4 linked regions of the Drosophila melanogaster genome follow. The protein of the gene in region 4 interacts with the protein of the main gene of each other region in a pairwise test. Each region holds a gene or a part of one and is shown on either strand. Other genes may lie near its edges.

Evidence for each region.
Region 1: the proteins of CG31600 (region 4) and Peritrophin-15a interact in a two-hybrid assay, tested with the Drosophila melanogaster proteins (one large-scale study listed by BioGRID).
Region 2: the proteins of CG31600 (region 4) and CG10165 interact in a two-hybrid assay, tested with the Drosophila melanogaster proteins (one large-scale study listed by BioGRID).
Region 3: the proteins of CG31600 (region 4) and CG34267 interact in a two-hybrid assay, tested with the Drosophila melanogaster proteins (one large-scale study listed by BioGRID).

The regions. Positions count from the first base shown.
Region 1 is NT_033779.5:8,394,772-8,399,093, reverse strand, and holds Peritrophin-15a (Peritrophin-15a), read left to right. Parts: upstream 1-2,997; 5' UTR 2,998-3,031; coding exon 3,032-3,041; intron 3,042-3,112; coding exon 3,113-3,381; 3' UTR 3,382-3,429; downstream 3,430-4,322. Other genes in the region: CG13386 (uncharacterized protein), read right to left, coding at 1-50; CG13385 (uncharacterized protein), read right to left, coding at 1,293-2,354; Peritrophin-15b, read left to right, coding at 4,213-4,222, 4,290-4,322.
Region 2 is NT_033779.5:19,526,038-19,532,928, reverse strand, and holds CG10165 (uncharacterized protein), read left to right. Parts: upstream 1-2,623; 5' UTR 2,624-2,660; exon of another isoform or gene 2,661-2,739; coding exon of another isoform or gene 2,740-3,835; intron 3,836-3,932; exon of another isoform or gene 3,933-3,983; coding exon of another isoform or gene 3,984-4,151; exon of another isoform or gene 4,152-4,158; intron 4,159-4,559; 5' UTR 4,560-4,676; coding exon 4,677-4,841; intron 4,842-4,975; coding exon 4,976-5,168; intron 5,169-5,223; coding exon 5,224-5,552; 3' UTR 5,553-6,019; downstream 6,020-6,891. Other genes in the region: CG10137 (uncharacterized protein), read right to left, coding at 259-401, 462-563, 617-762, 819-1,834, 1,901-2,015, 2,740-3,835, 3,984-4,151, 6,118-6,157; Dpm1 (Dolichyl-phosphate mannosyltransferase subunit 1), read left to right, coding at 6,605-6,708, 6,766-6,891.
Region 3 is NT_037436.4:498,870-503,130, reverse strand, and holds CG34267 (uncharacterized protein), read left to right. Parts: upstream 1-2,679; 5' UTR 2,680-2,757; coding exon 2,758-2,769; intron 2,770-2,832; coding exon 2,833-3,054; 3' UTR 3,055-3,117; downstream 3,118-4,261. Other genes in the region: CG34268 (uncharacterized protein), read right to left, coding at 1,792-2,031, 2,095-2,106.
Region 4 is NT_033779.5:21,913,287-21,917,950, forward strand, and holds CG31600 (uncharacterized protein), read right to left. Parts: upstream 2,073-4,664; 5' UTR 2,017-2,072; coding exon 1,972-2,016; intron 1,913-1,971; coding exon 1,730-1,912; intron 1,681-1,729; coding exon 1,516-1,680; intron 1,463-1,515; coding exon 1,154-1,462; 3' UTR 983-1,153; downstream 1-982. Other genes in the region: CG11634 (uncharacterized protein), read left to right, coding at 3,119-4,015.

The sequences.
Region 1 (4,322 bases), about 14 Mb from region 4:
CAAAAGATAAGGCCAATTGCGATCCGAAGCTTACGATTGCGGGCGAACATGATGACTAAGCTCGCCGGCGCCATGTCATCGACTTTATAAAAAAAAACGGAGGAATTGCAGGCGACTGGCGACAAATTGTGGTGTGCAATTTGGAGCTAAAAGTGTCCGCTTCGCTGCGTTCATCATCAGTTGCGCCAGTCTGGACGGGAATTTCACTTTCCTTAGTGAGCAATGCCTAACTCAACTTAAGCTACACTGAAAGTAATGTATTACACTTTCCTGGCAGACTGTTCAATTCCGTAAATATGATTTATTAGATAGAAATAATAGTATAATAATAAATTAAAGTATATATTTTTTTGTGCTTAACTTATTAAAAAACCTTACATATTTCAGATTCAATGGATTTTTTTCTAAGTGCACTTAGAAGTGGTAAAGGGTTACCGATGGTTGTGAAAACCCAAAAGGGGAACTATACTTATACCACCCACGGCAGTCATTCGAAACGATGCCAGATCGCAAACTCGGCTAAGAATCGTTAAGAAATTATCACCGTTTCCCGCTGGCTGCAATCGACAAAAAAAAAAAAAAAAAAAACGGCAGCAATATTACACGAAAAACATGACACGAAAACATGTCATTAGATGTATTGTATGTCCAATTGGAAGGAGGAGATGCAAAACTATCTAAAATGGCAGCGACTGATGTCATTTGTTTCCGGCAAACGACTCGCGATTGCAAAAATGGTAGTCTTTTGGAACGTGTCACCTTATCAGCTTATTGGGAATTGCGCTGGTATTTCGCAGAAATTCGCTATCTCCGCAAACCAGTGAAATTAAATATGAAACATTTTTGACACTTATCACAACATGTCCCATAATCTAAGCCAATCGTCCTACACGTTTCGAATATTTTCACTTTGCATTGCACTAGTCTTATCTTAAGCCCAATTTAATTGAATCTAATCAGGACGACCTTGTCGTCGATATTACAAGGCTAAATAGCGACTTACAGATATAGATATAGTAATGAATAAAGCTGTGCAAGTGACTTAACTGAAAATGGGGCAAGTTAAGTCTACTTAAGCTTGAGAGCAACGTCACAGAAAAAGTCAAAGAACTTTGCCGCAATAAACAACACTTTGATTTCCCAAAAGGGGGTTAAAATATATGCATTATAGAATTATTTACTTGATTCCAAAGGATTCGCAACTATTAAAGCTTCAACGCAGTTTATTTATGGTCATGTGGAAGATAATTTATATTCTGATCTAGGGTACTTCGGTGAAGATCATTTCATTGCTACGCTTGGCTATGTCCAATGGAGTTTCCCAGGTTTGGCGAGGAACCAGAATCGAGTCTTAATCTCTCCGAGGACATATGATTACTGAGGGTGTTTTCAGATTCGACGGAGTATGTTGGTGTTGGTCTAGGCGTTTTCGGATATTCGACGCGAAGACGACCATCGGAGAGTACAGATGGAAGCCTACGTTGGTCATCTAGCTCATCTGGTGGCCCTTTAGCAATGGAAGGATCAGACGAGGTCCTCTCCATCATGCGGACTGCTTCCGTAAAGCTAGCTTTGGGCCTGCGCATATGTGGTTGGTGGTCGGGACTTTCTGCTACTGCTTCTGAATGTGGACTCAAGCCTGTTGTTTGATTCTGCTCCCCCAATTGGGTTAATAGTTTCAATATTACATTTGTCGGATCTGAGGGTCCTGCTGGCTGGGATCTCTGGGCTGCCTCCACGGCTGCAGTGACCATTGCGCGTCCCAATGTTTCGTAAATCGTCCTTATATTTCCCACATCTGGCTGGTCAATGGTGTTAGTACATTGATCCCGATGTCCAGGAGTTGCCTTCTCTAATTTGACAAACTCTTTCTGCGCTACGTGGACTCTTAGAGGTTCCTCCGGGTTCAATGACTTGGCATGGCCACAGCAAGGACACTCCGTCGCCATCCTTGATCCTTGCTCATTGTTAAACCTCGGAGGTGGTATGTAGATGGGCATAATACGGTCTTCTGGTCGAAGAACATAGTACACCGGTGGAGGTTGGTTTATGCTGCGGGAGAAATGACGAAACTGGCTTTGCGAATTCTTCCGCTTGGGTGTCGCATATTCCTCGGGTCGGATTCTTAAATTCCTTCGAGGAGGAGGGACATCCGTTGGAGGTCTTACATTCGGGGCAATGGAGACCGATCGACAAGGTCGCTCTGTCGATGTTCTGGAATTGGGGAACAAGGGTATCGTCTGCACCGAAATGGGCATGGCCTGCATCTGTCCACAGGAACTGGGCTGTTGGGACACCAGCTGGATCATAATGGTGTTCGGTGGACCTGTGCCGCTGGTGACCCTCGACTCCATCGCTATGGGAGATTTATCACGAGCAATTTGTAATCATTAATATCGCAAATAATTAGTTGTGTGACACCTACTGCGATTTAATGTTATATTTTGGAGTTTTATATTTCGATATGTATGGTATACGGTATAGCGGATGGGTTGATTAAAAACCAGGTTAGTAGTGCGGTAGTGCTATCACCAACAGTTAAGGGTAGTATATTAATATAAATATAAATGCGTAATTCTAATGACTTGTTTGCGTTAAGAATGTGGGGTTCCCCACGGTTAAGTATTAGGTATTTGAATAGAAGCCCCCAAATTTAAATTTCGATTATAAACCTTACTGTCCTAGTTTTGTACTATATTTAACTTATTGATAGGAGTGCTACCCAGTTTGGATTGTGGCACGCGGCATGACCTTTACGACACATCCATATAATCAAACTATTGCGTCAACAAAACTTAGGGGCGCGTACAATGCGCTGAGATACAGATACAGATACGGTGGGCGATACAAGGTGCGATTATTTTGAAACGATTTCATGTCGCTGCCAAAATAGAATTTCGCACAGGCTTCCCGCCAACGGAGATAACTGCTATTGATGAAAGCCAATATCAGTGCCGGTCTGGGGTATATAAGCTTGCGAATTCGCCCAGTTAAAGCACACTTACGAAACCAGTGGGAACTCAATTGCACCATGAAGTCCGGTAAGTTAGCTGAGCAAATCGAAAAGGAATCCCCATTTGAAATATACTTCAACCCTTTGCCGATCCCATAGCACTACTTTTGATCTGCCTTGCCTTCTTCGTGGCGCTCCTAAGCACCGGAAATGCGTGCGATCCCAATTCTGACAACCAGCCCGACTGCAGCGACGCATCCAACGTGCAAACGAACATCCGCAACTTCTGGGATCCCACTCGCTACTGGTGGTGTGAGTCCTCCACCTCCACGGCCACGGCTGTGTTGTGCCCGTTGTCCACTGGATTCGACCCCACAAAGAAGGAGTGCGTTTCATGGAGCGAATGGTCTTGGACTGCTTACTGTTGATTGCATTTTTAATAACAACAAAAATGAAAATATATGGCAAACTAAATGATTACATACATTGTTTGGATTTTTAAAATATCTCATGTTCTTGCGAGTATTCGAAGATATGGGAAAATGTTATAGAGCAACCTAGATTGGTATATAGAATATTTTGTTTCTGCTCAGTCGCTTTCTATAGGATGTTGAGTACAGTTGAGTGTTAACGAGTTTCATTATTATTTGTAAATAACATTTTTGAGATGTTTTTGTCCAAATGATATCTTGGAAACCTATAAAGATTAGACAGTACTCGTATTGCTACTAATTTGCATTTAATGCAATAAAATGTTTATGAACGAGAGAAAAGTAAATTATACTTTATCATATAAAGTATAAACAATATACTTTAATTTTACAAACAACTTTATTTTTTAACTAGAGCTTGGTTTCAAAATTTGTTTGTTTATTTCAAAAACACTGTGTCTCAGTGTGTAAAGTTTTACAGGGTATAAATTGTCTAAATAGGAGCCGGTCAATTCAAACAAATCATATGCAAATTTTTTGTTCAATAATATTTTAATATCATAACTAAGTATACTACAACACTTGGTGAAATATACTTCTTTGTTTGAAAACGAATTGTACGACGGCGTCAAATGTTCGAATTGTCGAGATACAGATACCAATCGTGATCATGAGATTATTTTTAAACGATTTCATGTTCTTTAAGAAATAGAATGTATAGCTCCGATTGTCTCAGACAATATGTCAGGGAATAGATAGCAGGTGGCTATAAAATGTCGAACGTTGCGTTCCAATCGCATTCGGTATTAATCACTCGAACAAACCACAATGAAAGCAGGTGAGTTTCATTGATGACCTCACATCGCTGAAACCATTGAGATGCCAATAGCGGAATTCTGTTTCAGCTTTAGTCCTTCTCTTCCTGACCCTCTGCGTTG
Region 2 (6,891 bases), 2.4 Mb from region 4:
CGTTACATTTAACAAATCACATTGCGTACAAAAAATACAAAAGAATGCACATAATAGATCTAACTAATCGGCTTAACAAAATGTGACTAACTTAAGTGCTCTGAGTGAGAAACGAATTGGTTTAGTTGTTTAACTAAATGAGTTCGGCTGCTGCGACTGAAATTAGATAGCTTCCTTGAGTAGGTATCCTGACTAGAATAGTTGCTCTAATAAATTCGCTAATTCGCTAGGCCAATAGATCGATTAAGTGTACGCTTTCTAATTTGACTTCTTGAGATTCCTCTTGCGTATATTCCCGGGACAGCCGCCGGCGCTGAGGAGATGCAATTTCCAGCCGCCGTCTTGGGGAAGGTGAACATCGTCATGACAAAGGGGACATCGAGCAGCACCCGTTTTCAGTTCTGGAGAGGGGAAATGGTGATATAGTGACTCTAGAATTTATCTCAATTTCAAGTTTCTACCCCGACAATAGTCCTCCATCTGATGTAGTTCATATAGCTGCTTGTGCACCGATTCAGTGCAACGGACACAGACCACGTAGCTCTCCTTGGCATCGCATTCCGCTGGGGAATATTCACAATATTAGTTATCCTACGGTATTATATTGCAGACCTACTTGTCAGGTGGTAGTTCAGAGCAGCAACCTCCAGCACTTGACTGCATTGTGGGCACTTGGTGAGGAAAGGACACGCCTTCCAGTAGTGTCGGTCCAACTGAGTAGCGTCACTGCCGGCACACGACCAGTCGCAAAAGGGGCAACGTCTAAAAGAGTATTAATATTATTGCGGATCCTTGAAGAATTCAATTTTACTACACACATTTTGGGTGTGTTGTCTTCAGTGGACTCCGAGTTGGAAGCGGATCCCTTGCGCGAGTTGCTCACGGATAGCATGGAGCGCTTGAGCTGCTCGTTGTACTGCTGCTTTCCATTGCAGCTGGCATATCCATTACTGGAGCTGGCCATTGGGCCTAGGTTATGACCACTGCGGCTATTCATCAGTCGAGAGGCATCTGAGCTGGTGGACGCCTTATCCGCCGGCGGTGTTGCCGCATCGCCCGAGCTGTGACCCCCGCCATACTTGCTAGCCTCCAGCAGCTCCTGCTTGCGGTCCAGATCCAACTTGTCAAATTCGGTGAAGAGTTGGCGGTACAAGAGATTGCGACGCGTGATGTCGTCATCCGGAGGTAACTGCTTGCGCACCAGTCGGGGATTCACCTTGTAGACGAGCAGCAGGATGCGCTCGGCCACCTTTCGCACAGGCTCCGCTGGATGATGGATGCCGGAGCAGCCGCACTCGGACAATGCCCTGCAGGTGAGTCCACTATGCTTGTCCGTGCTAATGCCCTGAGTGTTGACCAGCTGCTCCAGCATCTGCAGCCGACTCATTGCCAGTCGCTGGTGGGTTCCGGATCCAACGCTTCGTGATAGTGCTGGCGCAACCAGGTGCTGCTCCGCCACCTCCGGACAGGCGGCGATGCTTAGGATCGTGTGCTGGGCCAGAGTGTGCAATCGAGCAGATGGATCGCCGGACTTGGCCAGCAATTCGGGCAGCAGGCGGTCCACGCAACGTGCCACCTCGTTGGGGGAAACTCGACCGGGCACATACTCTAGGAACAGCATGCGTACCGTCTCAGTAGCTTGGCTAAACACGGAGTAAACGGCATCTCTTACAGCGCGATGCAGCAGAAGGGCGGCGCTGCGGGCCACTTTGTTGGGACTGGCAGCGTGCTCGTTGCTCGACGCCTCTAACAGGTCGTGCTCCTTTAGGAAGTTACGCAGACGCATCAAGCCATCCTCGCGGTCCTGAAACTGACGCGAATAGAACTGCTCCACCTGGGAATATACATATGTAGGGCACGTATTGAATATGTTATCTATTGGATTTAATGGGGGACTCACCAGCTCATTGCCGAAGACCAGGATGGGAAGCGCTGCCTGGCGACGCTCGCGGTCGTTCAGGCGCGAACGCCCACGGTTCGGATCCGCTTCCAGTAGCGCGTTGCCTTGGCACTCCCTTAAAAATTCATTAGTATTTGAACTGTGAGCGGTTTGTGTTTGTTGTATCGGAATGGCAACGTTTACGGATGCGGTTACAATATACATATAGGAGTAGAAAGGTAAGTACGATTAAAGGTAAATCTAACAACATGTTACTTTCAAATGCGTTCAAATAACGCCTAATTTAAAGTTTTGTGTATAGTTTCGAAATTTCATTATATGAAATTAACTATGAAACCGTTCAAACTATTTTTAATCTTTTATAAAAGTTTCTAAGTTGTTAATAAAAACATAAATACTTTTCTCTAAAAGCAAATTTTAAATACTTTTTAAAATATCTAAAAGCAAAATTTCTGTCAAAAAGCCTAACATTTAAAAGTATCTCAAAAATACCTAATTTCAATATATAAAGAATTTTTGCTTTTGCTTTAAAAAGATAAATCCTTTTCATGTGTTTAGAGCAGATAAAACGGCTTTACTTAAAATTAAGCTAATAGATTCTCTTTCGTTCTTTGAAATTCTGGGCGAGCGTTAAATCTTAAATTAAAAAAAGTAACGGGTGTTGTTTCTAACGGTCGCTAGTGTTGACAAACATTCAAACTAAGAGTACCGGTTATCATGCAACACTGTAATAGACAGCTGTTTCCAGTAAACAAACGAAGTAATTACTATTCCACAATTGTTTACGTATTCACTAGACACCCAGACAACGATTACGACTCTCTACGCCCGCTACTCACTGTCGCAGCGTGGGAATGGCCCGCTCCTCGTAGTCTTCGTAGGAGTTTCGTGGAACGCTCTTGTTGCGCCTGCGCAGCGATCCCTGTCGGCTGGACATTGGTGAGCTGTGCCTTGAAGGCAGACGTGGCGACTGCGGCAGCTCGTCGTGGGACTTGCGCCAGCCCCCCAGCGTGGGAGTGGGCGTGGCCTGCAAAGAGGTGGGCGCAGGAGCGGGTGCTGGAGCAGGTGCCGGAGCTGTCAACGTATTGTCGTTACCAGGCTGGGAGCCATCGGTCGAGGATTTGTCCTCTAAGCTGAGACTCGTCATGCTCTTGGGACTGAAGGTGGCTTCCGCAAGTGCCTGTGCCACATCCTGCAGGCTAGGAGCCGATGGCAGACTGGGCTTCCCACCCGCATAGATCTCGCAGCTTTGGTCATTGGAGCTTAAGGTCACACCCTGCGGTTCCAGAAGCTGATGCACCTGCAATTGTCGAAGTACTGCCGCCCGGTACATCTCGATCTGCTCCTTGCGTAGCCTGGCCGTGGTAAAGTCCTCCTGCTGAACAGCCTGCCTCTTGGCCAGAGCATAGCGCCCCAAACGTTCTCCGGCAGTCCTTAAAGCTGTCATGCATAGCTTCAGTTTGCGGGCGTACTCGAATCTTTCTGAGTTAACGGCCAAAATCTTTCGCTGTTCCAACTCTCGGATGGTCTGCACTATTGACTCCTCCACATACATGGAGAAAAGCAGGTCATCACAGACGGAGGCCAGGGCCAGTTCTCCGGTGGCCGTGTCCAACGGTGGGGCCTCGTTGGCCAAGTGCTCCTCTCCGTTGCCATTATTTGGCCCCACTTCCAGATCCTCGCCCAGGACATTTACCGCTAGTAGGGAAATCTGGCCTGTGTCATTGTAGTCGTTTCCTTGGACGCCAATCAGACGCAGCTTAAGATGTGTGCCCCTACGTGGACACACGGTTACGCTCTGCAGCTCCCGAGACTTGTAGTTCGTGTTGGCATTATCCGCCAGGGCAACAAAACCCAAAAAGTCAAAGTACTGCGAGGATGGAGTGCTGGGCAGGGATTTGGGCGAGTAGTGCAGCCAGAGTTCTACTTTCTCAGCTAAACGAAAAAACAACACATTATAGGGAATACTCAAGCTGTTTGTTTATATGTTCATCTTTGATCATACTAAAGATCAGGCATTGATTATTTCTAGGTACTTATTAGGCTTGTAGCCAATTCCAATTAACTTAGCACATTAACTTACGTATAAGATACTGGTGTGCCAGGAGCTGGATGCGATAGATCTTGGCCGGCTGCTGGAATCGGAGGATGATGTCATGTGAGGTGAGGCTGCCGTTCGGAGCACTTCGCCATCCGTGAACTGTGGGGCCGTGATTGTTTAACTCGCTAGCCGGAAAGTTAACATCCTCGTCTGAAAGGCAAGCGAAACGATCCAATCATCATTACTTTCATGACGTTATAACCTATGTATAGGTGGCGCAGGCCATTATGACTCTCTTAATAAGTCTCTTTTTCGCACACTCAGCTAAATAGTTGCACATGATAACGATATCGGACTATGTTTCGTTCTCTTTCGGTTGCTAAGCTAACAGCAGCGGTCAAAACGAAAGCTAGCATTCAAGCGTGCCCAAAATAATAAGCCTTAAAATCTATTAAATATTCAGAAACAGGTTATCAGTTATATATGCGATGAAACGTATAAAATGGAAAGCATAAACAAAAACATTTGAGTTACTTTAAGAATTCTCAACTATCACTATTTATTCGAACGCAGCTGTACGAGTACAAACGAATCTAACTTGTTGTTCTCTATCCTCAGGTTCCACGCTCTTCTCTTCTATATTTAAGCGATGTCGATGTTAACATGCTAGTTTAGTCGTCGCTCAGCCGTTCGTGTTTTGTTACTGAATCAGATAGTATTATTGAATCTTTTGAAATGGCGGAGGGTTACACGAAAGCCACTGCCTGGCTGCAAATCCACAGCCTGCTGAATAGCATCAACCACATTCTGATCTTTCTGGTGGCCGTCTTCTTTTTCATACTGGCGCGCAGTCTGGAGTTCAAGGATACCGCCATGCATATGTTTATGACCGGGACTGGAGTGAGTACACGGCGATAAGCACTTGGCCACAAAATCAATAGTGTTAGATCGACCTGGATAACACGGACATGCAACGTCACTTGTTATCTTATCGAACTGGAGCTGAATTAAAAGGCTTTTCTTGCTCTCGACAGTTCCACGTCCTTATCGCCCAGGCCATGATGTCGCATTCGAAAGTGAACCCGCTCACCCGTTGGCTGTCGCACCGAAACAAGTCGCGCTTCCACGCCATCCTGCAGATTGTGGGTGGCTCCATGGTGCTGTTGGGCTCCCTGGGTAAATTTTCCAGCAAGGAGGTGCACTTTAACACCTGGCACGGCCGAGTGGGTGAGTAAATAATTAGGTTAATTCAGGAAAACCGATTAAAGCTGACATTTTGCAGGGGGAGCTGCTTCCTTTTTCTGCGCGGCCAGCATTGTAGGCGGTTTTGTCAACTATTTCCAGCCCAAGTTCGCCCTGAAAGTAATGCCTCCATCAGAGCTTCGCTTCCGCCATAATCTATTTGGATTGGTCACCTTTAGTCTGGGAATGGGCGCCATTTACCTGGGCTACTATTCGAAATTCTTTACCAAGTATGTGGATACTGACTTTATTCCCGGCATGATGCTGATTACCGGCATTGTTTATGGACTCACCATTATCGCGCCGGTGTCATCGCTTCTAACTAAACTTAAGTATCGGTCCAAAAAGAAGGCGGAGCAGGCCCAGTAGGTGATACTGGGGAGGATGAGGCTGAGGCCATCGAGGCTAACCAAAATTTGTCAGGTCCTAGCATGAAAATAAAGAGCTTGGCGTTTGGCCAAATTTAAATCTCTGGCCGCAACTCAAATTGCACATGCAGACACAAAAAGAGTCGACAACCCGGCAGTCTGACAATATTATAATGAAATATTACAGTCATCGTGGTTGCAGTGGTTTTAGGACGTGGTAAATTGGCCGAGACTTTGGAAAATTGATTTAGCATCCTGGCCATATTTAAATCGGACTATTGCCAGCTGATTAGCTGCAATTAAAAAGGCAGCGCCAGTCTATTTTAAATTCCAACGTCCTGGCGCACTAGGCGTATGCGTGATTTATCGATTTCTCAAGTGCAGCGAATTTTAAAGGAAGAAAGGGAGGTGGAAGACGTTTAGCTCTCAGCCAAATCCTGTCGCAACTAAAAATGCAATTAAGAACATAAAAAACACACAAAATAAAGCAAACAAATAAGAAAACTATAAATAATAAAAATCTTTCTGCAGCTTTCAGTTCATAATATATCCGAAGTTTTGTTTACCTGAGGCGAACACCACGTTAAAAGGTATTTTCTTAGCCATGTTGACGTCGCGCCGTCAAAAGCGCACTACTTTGCCACTTTTATTCGCTAATCCGCACATAAAGTGAGCACTTATTCTTAAAGCGGCCGTTCGCGAACTGTGTGACCGCACAATTTTTTATGATTTTTACCCTTGTGCTCTGGAAAGTATACTATAAAACTTTATTCGGCTGGGCGAATATACCAAAAACATACATCATCTACATAGAATGTTATTTGTTCAGCTTTATATTAAAGTCAATATTTTGTCAAATTAGATATTTTAATATCATTTATTTAACACATTTAAATTTACATTTGGAATTCGATACGTTTTAGCCACTATCTAACTATCTAGCCACTATCGACTTCGCTATCGATTCGAGCCAGCTGTTTTGTATTATTGAATTGACCAACACTCTTGTAGTTTTAATTGAAATTATTTACACGGTTCTTGAGAACAATTACAATGCCAACAAATGGCCATAAATACAGCATTTTGATGCCCACTTACAATGAAAAGGATAATTTGCCCATTATAATATGGCTAATTGTGAAATACATGAAGGCGAGGTGAGTAGCGGCTGCTCTAAGGTGCAAATTCAGGTATTAATTGCTCCCCCTTTGCAGCGGCTTGGAATACGAGGTGATTGTGATTGATGATGGTAGTCCGGATGGAACACTAGACGTGGCCAAAGACCTGCAGAAGATCTACGGGGAGGACAAGATTGTGCTGAGACCACGTGGCTCCAAATT
Region 3 (4,261 bases), on a different chromosome or scaffold from region 4:
GCTGCCCAGTTCGGTTCGGTTATAGTTCAACTTTCGCGTTAAATGAACCTTTAAATAAACTTTCCATTTTATTTGGCGTAGTTCAGTTGAACTTGAGCCTAACTGAATTGTAATGTGCAGTCACGTGCAGTCATTTAGCAGTTGAGGTGTTGATTAAAGGTCGCGAGGTACTAAAAGCAGCTACGAGTGTTTGAAATTGCACTAAAAAGAGCTACGCTATTTGTAACTTGATTACACTATTATCGAAACATTGAAACAAACAATTTGTTAATACGGCTAAAACGGCTGACTGGGGCGAATCTAACTCCAAATCCAATACGATCGAAAAACATTTCTCTGCTTCATCGATCGGAAACACGCCCAAATCCACAAGAGAATAACACACGAGATAGAGATGGACTGAAGGGGGGGGGGGGGGGGTCTCTCAAGTTCAATTGAGTTTCACTTTCCTTCATAATTTAAATTAACAATTATAGCGGATAATTAACAAAATGAAAACAAAAGCATCGAAGGCAACTCCCCCTGAGCGGCTACGAAAAATATTATTACAAACTGTTGGATAATTTATCAAATGAGCTGCGGATAGGATAGGATTGGGTAGCTGGGCGACGATGAAGTCATTACCACAGACAAAAAAGAAACCACACAAAAGGAGAGACAGGCCCAACAAAAAGACGACGTCACATGTGAAGCGGATCAAATGATTTCGTCATAATCGAGCAGCAAATTACTATTTTTTCCCCCTAATAGAGTAATAAAATTGCCCAACTCTGGCCGAGAAATTTACTTTAAACTGAAAAGGAAGTGGAACCTGAATGGTAGCAGCAGGCTGAAAAACAAAGCTGAAACTGAAAATCGAAACCGAAATGAAATGTGGGGAAAATTAAGAAGAAAACGCTAACAATAAATCTTTTGGCAATAGAAAAAACAAAACCTGCCACAAAAAAGGCCCAAAAAGCCTGTTCACAAAATTGACTTTCGAACACAATTTATTTTTATATTTTTGTCTGCTTATTTCGATGTTATTTTTTTTTTTTGTTTTACCAAATCGCTTGAGAGTTTTTCTAGCCAGCGATTTAATAACCCGAATAAAGCCCCAAATAAAAAACAATGAAAAATTAATGTACGATCCATTCAGGTTCATCATCGACACGAGATCGAACCGCAACCGGGGAAAAAGCCAAAGGGAAAGGCGGCTGGCTCAGAGTGTTTGAAGCGGGCTGTAAGGCTTTGCTTTGTCGCCACTTTAATTGGCTCAAATTAAAGACGAGCTGGGATTGGGTTTTAATGGCAACGTCTGTCGGGTAAGGGGTGGTGGGAGGGGGGGAGGTGGAGAAGATGCAGCTGCAGTTTAGAGGCGTCACTTTATTCCGCTGATTAATGAAGAAATTTCCCCTGGAAGCTTGCCGCCTTGTTAACGACTTTATGTGTGACTATTCGCAAATAACAAAATGAGCGAGGTGAAATTAAATTTTACAAAATGTCCCATAAAATAATCAGTCAGCCATGGAAACCACTGGGGTCTGCGGACAACTTTAGTTGCTATAAAATGTGTAAAATGGAAAGTGCTGACCACGAAAGGGTGTTGGGTACGTAATTTTTACGAGAATTATTTCCTTGATGTAGGAAAAAACATGCATCATTTAATTGTAAGTATAAAAATTAAGCCAGTCCCGATGGCATGACCCAAAAGTTTATCCTCGCTCTATACCAGAAAATAAAGATAAGTTCGATTTGGTTGGCAATTTATTTATGTCGGGTCAATTTCTAATGGGGTTGTGCTACAATAATTTAACCATGGTAGATGTGGTGTCCATAGGTGGGAACAGCGTAGGACTTCAGCACAGGGACATGCTGAACCACTGGGACATTTTTCACCACCGGAACATGCTGCACCACTGGAACATGCTTCACCACCGGAACAGATTTCACCACGGGCACCACCTGGGCCACAGGAACCACTCCGTAGGAGGGCTCAATGTAACCAGGAGCAGCAAAAGCCATTGCTACCAGGGCGAAGATTACAGCGATCTAAGGAGATATTTTGTAATATGAAAAATCCTAAGGATTTACTTTATAATTTCGTGAACTTACAATGCGGAACATTTTGGTATTTTGTTGTGAGTTAAAAACTTTAACTTGTGGTTATCGAACGTTTGTGTTAGCCGGACGACTGTTGTTGATTGACCATCCGTGGAATCATTATATATAGTAGTTAGCACCTCAGCCGAAAATAGCCCACAAATGACTTCTGTTCGAACGCCACGCGCCAAACCAGTTTAATTATCTTAAATTTGGTATCTTCGAATAATGCGCATTCTATTTGGTATGAAACCATCTCCAGCGGCGAACTTCCCGTTATCGGTCGTTATTGCTTAACCTTTGGACATAATCCCCATTCAATGACTTCTCAATTGTTTGCTGTTTTTAGATCCGTGTGCTTATTATTGTTTACTTCCAAGACCATTGTCATTATATCGATCGTCTTCACGCGTTTGTGATGATCACCAAGAACCAAGGTCATGTCCACAAAAAAAGACCTATATGAGGCACCTTTGGGTCAACTGATAAATCCATTCTCTCAATTAAACAGAAGAATTATGGCCAAACACGTTTGCCCATTTAGAAGTTGTTATTGAAGTGATTTTTGGCTATATAAAGTAACTGATCCATTGGTCAGCATCACCAGTCGTCCTACAAGCATCCAAGTGACAATATCTCCAAGTCAAGTTTGTAAATTACTAAGAAAATACCAAAATGTTCCGCATTGTAAGTTCACGAAATTATAAAGTAAATCCTTGTGATTTTTCATATTACAAAATATCTCCTTAGATCGCTGTGATCTTCGCCCTGGTAGCAATGGCTTTTGCTGCTCCTGGTTACATTGAGCCCTCCTACGGTGTGGTTCCTGTAGCCCAAGTGGTGCCCGTGGTGAAATCTGTTCCAGTGGTGCAGCACGTTCCGGTGGTGAAGAATGTCCCAGTGGTTCAGCATGTCCCTGTGCTGAAGTCCTACGCTGTTCCCACCTATGGACACCACATCTACCACGGTTAAATTTTGGAAAGAGCTCAATCGATATCGCACGGGAATAAATAAAATGTTTATGCTTGTAAAAGGAATCATATTTGACTTACTTGTCTCAAATCAAATGCACTTCAAATGAGTTTACAACTTCTGTGATTTATTCGCAGTATTTGCAGTGTGTGCGGATTATTTTCTCATGTCCCGCCGAGTTTTTGTATCCAACAACCCATTAAGAGCTGCAACAGAATTTTCTTCGGTCTGGTCCGATCGGAAATTTTTACGCAAGCCGTAAATGCGCCAAAATCTGGAACACAAATACGTTTTTCTCTGTTTTCGCGTTAGGGGCTTTGTAGTTTATTTGGTGCGGATCGAGTGATAAAAGCCAAATGTGCGCCTCGTTCCAGGCACCCAAAAGATACGGAGATTGAGCAGTTGCGTGGAACACATTTGGCAGGCTGTTCGCTGGTGAATTGACTCTTTGCACCGACTGAAGGTGATTAATGGACGCCAAGAGGAGCGGAGCGGAGTGGAGTTCAGTTGCGAAGAGTTGAGAGTAGCCGTACGATACTTCTTAAACGGTAGTTAAAATCTAACTAACACGCGAGAGAAAGAGTTTGCGTTTGCAGAGTTGGCTGATGAAAACGCTTGCGGCTGGCATTGAAGACTTCTATAAAATGGAAAGGGGGAGGCTTTTCTTGCTGACCCACTTTTGGCAGACAGAAAAATGTATTTGCCTTTGCTGACTGGCTTGGCTGGGCACTCCAAGAATTGTTAACAGCAATTTAGTGGTTATTCGCTTCTTCTTCGGCTGCTAAGTGTATTTTATTGTTCGCCAATTGCTGTTGTTGTCTTGTTAACGCTTTTTATAGCCGCCTTTTGCTTTTCGGCCAACTCTATTTGTCGAGTCTTTCTCTCCATGCAGATGTATCCCACAGATACATTCATTAACTTGTTTGCAGTTACAGTTTCCCTGTTTCCCCTCGCCGGTGATTTATGCTATCGCCAGCGTTTGTTCGTATATTTAGACATTTCCTATGTGTTGTCACCTCAATTTTTTCCTGCACTTGCTCAACTTTTTTATTTTAATTTTATTTTTAGGCTAATTAAAATAATCAGGTAATTGTGCAGTTATGAGTTATGTCTCAAGTCGGCGGAGAAGAGGAAGATTGTGTGAACATGGCAGACCTCAAATCTCGTTATGACTATGAATATGCATTGGCGCTTGATGAGATCCCCT
Region 4 (4,664 bases):
TCAATAGCCGAGTCGATTTGGCCATGTCCGTCAGTCCGTATAAATGTCGAGATCTCAGGAACTATTAAAACGAGAAGTTCGAGATTCAGCATAAAGATTGTAGAAACAAAGACGCAGCGCAAGATCGTTGACCCATGTTGCCACGCCCACTCTAGCGCCCAGAAACGGCATAAAAATGCCACGCCCAAACTTTTGAAAAATGTGTTTATATTTTTTCACGTTTTTATTAGTCACTTATTAATATTGAACAATATTTCGATTTCCGAATCGGTCATTTTATTTCCCAATATCTATCGATATCCCAGAAAAATGATGCACTTTCGCGTTCGTATACACACTAGCTGAGTAACTAGTATCTCACAGTCGGGGAACTCGGTATATCCGAGCATTATCTCTTGTTTTTAAAATATCTCTTTAGCGGGGTATTAAATAATAAAGAAAATTCAATTTGTTTTAAATTAATAGAAAGCACTGTTCATACATCTACCTTAGGTCACGCCTTCGTTCATGCATTTTCCACAATTGATTTCCTGATATTATCTATATACATTTTTAAACCAAAAAAGACAATAAATTATAATTTGGAAAAGCAAACCGGTACATTTTCAGACCAATAATAACGGTATGGAATTGTCAAAAATGTGTACGTTTTGCTTAATGTGAATTGTTTTTCCATTCCGAAAGTTTATTTTGCCTTCTAATACTCACTTCCGTTTCCGCTGCACAAGACCAAAGTGTGTTTCCGCTACCCTATTACCACTCCATTCGCCATTTGAAACTTTTTTCGTACTCATCGAACGAATTATAACAAAACCAATTTTCCATGACAAAAAGACAACAGGAAAAAACCAAATTACAAATCAGACAATTAAATACTCATACTCAATACTCGCAAAATGTTTGACATTTATTAATTAAAAATAGGATAAACTGTATATTAATTTTATTCAAATTGTCATCGGCAATAAAAGACAGCTTATTTCAATTTATTTCTTTGTTCCATTTCGATTTGTCATCTACATATTGTATGCAATACAGTGGCATAGATTAAAACAATACAAACATTACAAGAAACTGCATTTAGTACTCAAGAATGGTTACATGGTAGTGTATAGAGTAGTAGTATTTGGTTAGGGTTAATAAGGCTAATGTTTCAAAATGTGTTTTTAACTAAATCTATTAGTACCGCAAGCCCGTGTGTAATAACTCTTTTATGTTTCCTTTCGCCGATCAAAGAAATACATTTCTTCAAAAGCGTTGCAGCAAGAATAAGTAAAATTACCAGTTCCACAAAAATAGCCAATCTGAGCTGCAAATGACTTATATGTTGTATCGGCATAAAAATGTTTTTAACAAAGTCACTGCAACCTTGGGTGATAAGGTCGGGATGGTAGCAGTGGGTTGGAACCCCTTGTAGATAATCCATATAAGAACGGGGACCCTCCAGTCCACAGCATAAAACCTGTGAAAAGCAAAACCCTTGAAAGGGCAAATGAGCAAAGGCATAACACATACCGCATTTTCAATCGAAGGCCAATCTGTCTCGTTAAAATTGGAGTATGCCAGCCATTTAAGGTTTAAGCTATCCATGAATGTACTATAGCTCCTGTTCATGGCTTCTAGTTGTTTTGAAATTGTGAAGTAAGTCCAATGAAGGACGAGTATCTGCAGCGGTATAAGCTAATTTACAATTATCAACCTCACGTTTTTTTTTTGGTAAAGTCCTTACCCCGAGAACAAGCCAATCATCACGCAAATTGGCTAAGTATAGGCTGACCAAATTCAGGCAAATGGTAATGGAAACGGTACTTGTTAGAAAATTAAAACAGTTAAGCACATTAATGGTTATTTCAGCGCTTTTAAGTCGCAGAGTAAAGGGTATAATTACTCGAAATAACACAGCCAATACAAGCTAAGTGTAGAAAAGTTGTCAGTAAAAACTTGAAGACGGGCTGCTGATTAAATACTTACCCCAAATAAAATAGCAGTTAGCTTTTTTATCATGCCCTCTACCATTTTGAGAATTATTTTAATATACGTAGCTCAATTTTATTCTACGCAAATTGACAAAATATTCGAAGCTGGAAATAATGGCCTACCACATAAATTCAAATTTTTGTTTTCCCAATTATGTATGTATACGAAATCACGCAGGTTTTTCTATTTGTGTTTCAATTCCTTTTTTCTGGCAAAATTTCATTGTTGATTTATGGGATTTGCTATTTTTGACAGTTGTTTTTGCTACAACGAATGAGAGTGTGTGCGATAACTGTTTGTAGGTATAAACATGATTTTATAATCGGCTTTCTATATTAATTTTAATTTTATTTTCGGCATTTTATTATAATTACTCTTGATATATGTAAATGGTCATCGTTAGCAAAATTATCATTCCGTATATGGCTGTATTGTTGCTGCACTTGATGTCCACATGGATGTCCCTCAACTCGTTAGGAAATTTACTACGCACTTTTTGTTGTGGGTTTTCAGTTCGCCAATGGGCCATGCGAAAAAATATTTCTGTGGCTTTAAATATTTTAATTGTCGCTGTTGGCTCTGTTCTGTTATTTCATAATCGTATGCTCTTTGTTGTAAGTCAAAAAGGGTGTAGTTCGAAATGCACAATAAAAATTGTAATATTTTGGCAAAATATTTATAATTATTAATGCTAATTTCAACAAATCCAATGCATTTCTGGCATTCTATTTGGACGATGGCTAAATACTTTGGTGTTTTGTATCTGTTTGTGATATTTTAATTTTACTGTCGCATTTGATCATAAATTAAGCGATTAACAAATAAGGGGCACCGTGGGTTATGGGTGCTCTTTTGAATTCCCTCGATGTGGCAATGGATGGAAGGGGCCAGTAAAACTATATTGCTTTTGATAAATGCCGATGGTTAGGACTCAGAGTGCGCCGCATTGAGCGGTTTAGTACTTAGTACTCAAGTGATATTAGAATTCCTGGTAGATTAAAAAAAATAACAAAATAATTGAAATATGAAAATGTGTCAGAAATGTTTCATTTAATCATATCCAATCGCGTTTGCCATTCAAATAAATCTCAAAATATATAAAAACAAATTTTTTACATTACAGTGAAGTTTTTGATAAGCCATGTTCGATACAACTAAATACTTTCCGCGTTCAGTTGATTCCGAGCATCCGTCCCAGTCGGAGCACAATGAGTCCTTGTCACTGGATCATGTCGTCACCTACGATATGGTCCATAACCCGGAGGGAAGATCACCTGATCACAGTGTCATCGAAATGACATCGGAAGCTGACCGGCATATAGGACACGATGTCACTTCATCTCCCCAATTGATGATTATATTTGAAGAAGGCGACATCAACAGTGCACTGCACTTTATTATTGAGTCGGTTCATAATCCCTTTGCCTCGAATGCGGTGGCCATGGTTCTGGTTGAAGAGAAAATTCGCGGGGAGATCGTCGAGCGAATCCTGTCTAAGCTACATCCTCTTAGTAAGTTTGTGGCCGAACATCCTAGCTATCTGGCAGCACTGGAGAAATGCCACACCTCCAACTTTAACATAATAAGGGCCTGCATTTCGGAGGTTGCCCCACCAATGGCTTCACCCATTTTTGTGTGTGACTGTACGCACGATAAGCTGGGAAGTTACCCAACTGGAGTAGTAACATTTCACACATTCCGCAATAACCAGGAGGCCATTGCCATAAGTCAGTGCGAATCGTTGGCCTTCGCATCCGTCTCCATTTGGAACGAAACGCTAACTGGATGCTACGATCTCGTGGCGGCCCTCAGCTCGTCCTATTTTTTTCTAAACTGCGCCAACGTTGACTTGTCGCCAATTTTAAAGCCACACAAGGCCCAGAAAAATTACGTGGTAGTTGAAAACGGCTTTCACTTCGAAACCCTACGTATCTATGACAATTTCAAAGCCATTGTATTTCCCATTGGCGGACAAATATTGCCAGACATCGAGGATCACAAGGAGGAGCACGCAGCTATCTTCTTTTTGGAAGCTTAGTATTGGAATGACTTCCACGACTTCCCCTTTCATCCGATTTCGCAAAAGTGCTTGGCAGATTCAAAATTTAAAGTTATTTTGGGTGTTTTTATGGTTATTAACGTTCATGATGCGTGCCAATATACAATGTAAGTGCAGCTGTCAGCGGTAATAACAATATTTCTTTTCTTCCGGATATTGACTTTTTGGGCGTCTTAATGAACGCAGGTTTTTTGTATATAGGTTGCGAATTAATTCGACACAGCGTGACTAACTGTGTATTCGATTTTTTTAAATTTTATTGGGACATTGAGAAATGGTAAAATGTTGGTCTGTTATCTTTTCGCTTAAATATTGTTTTGTTTATTCGTGCCGAACACTGTAAGAATGTTTTCTAGCTCTGCAGCCGATACTTATATTCAACTTGGCAATCTGATACTGGGCATGACCGAATAAATTTACGATCGCACAGCATTCCGGAGTCACCACAAGCATCTGCCCCATAAAATCATTTTCTTTATGGGAGTATGATGAGCGTATGAGTGACGCCAAGTCGTCGCTTTTGGGCACTTAAGGTCTGAATCCAAAAATAAAGCCCGCTCGTCAGTGTAATTATCAGTTTTGTGTGTTTTTCTGCCTTGGAATTTATTCCCCATAAATCTCCCGCATG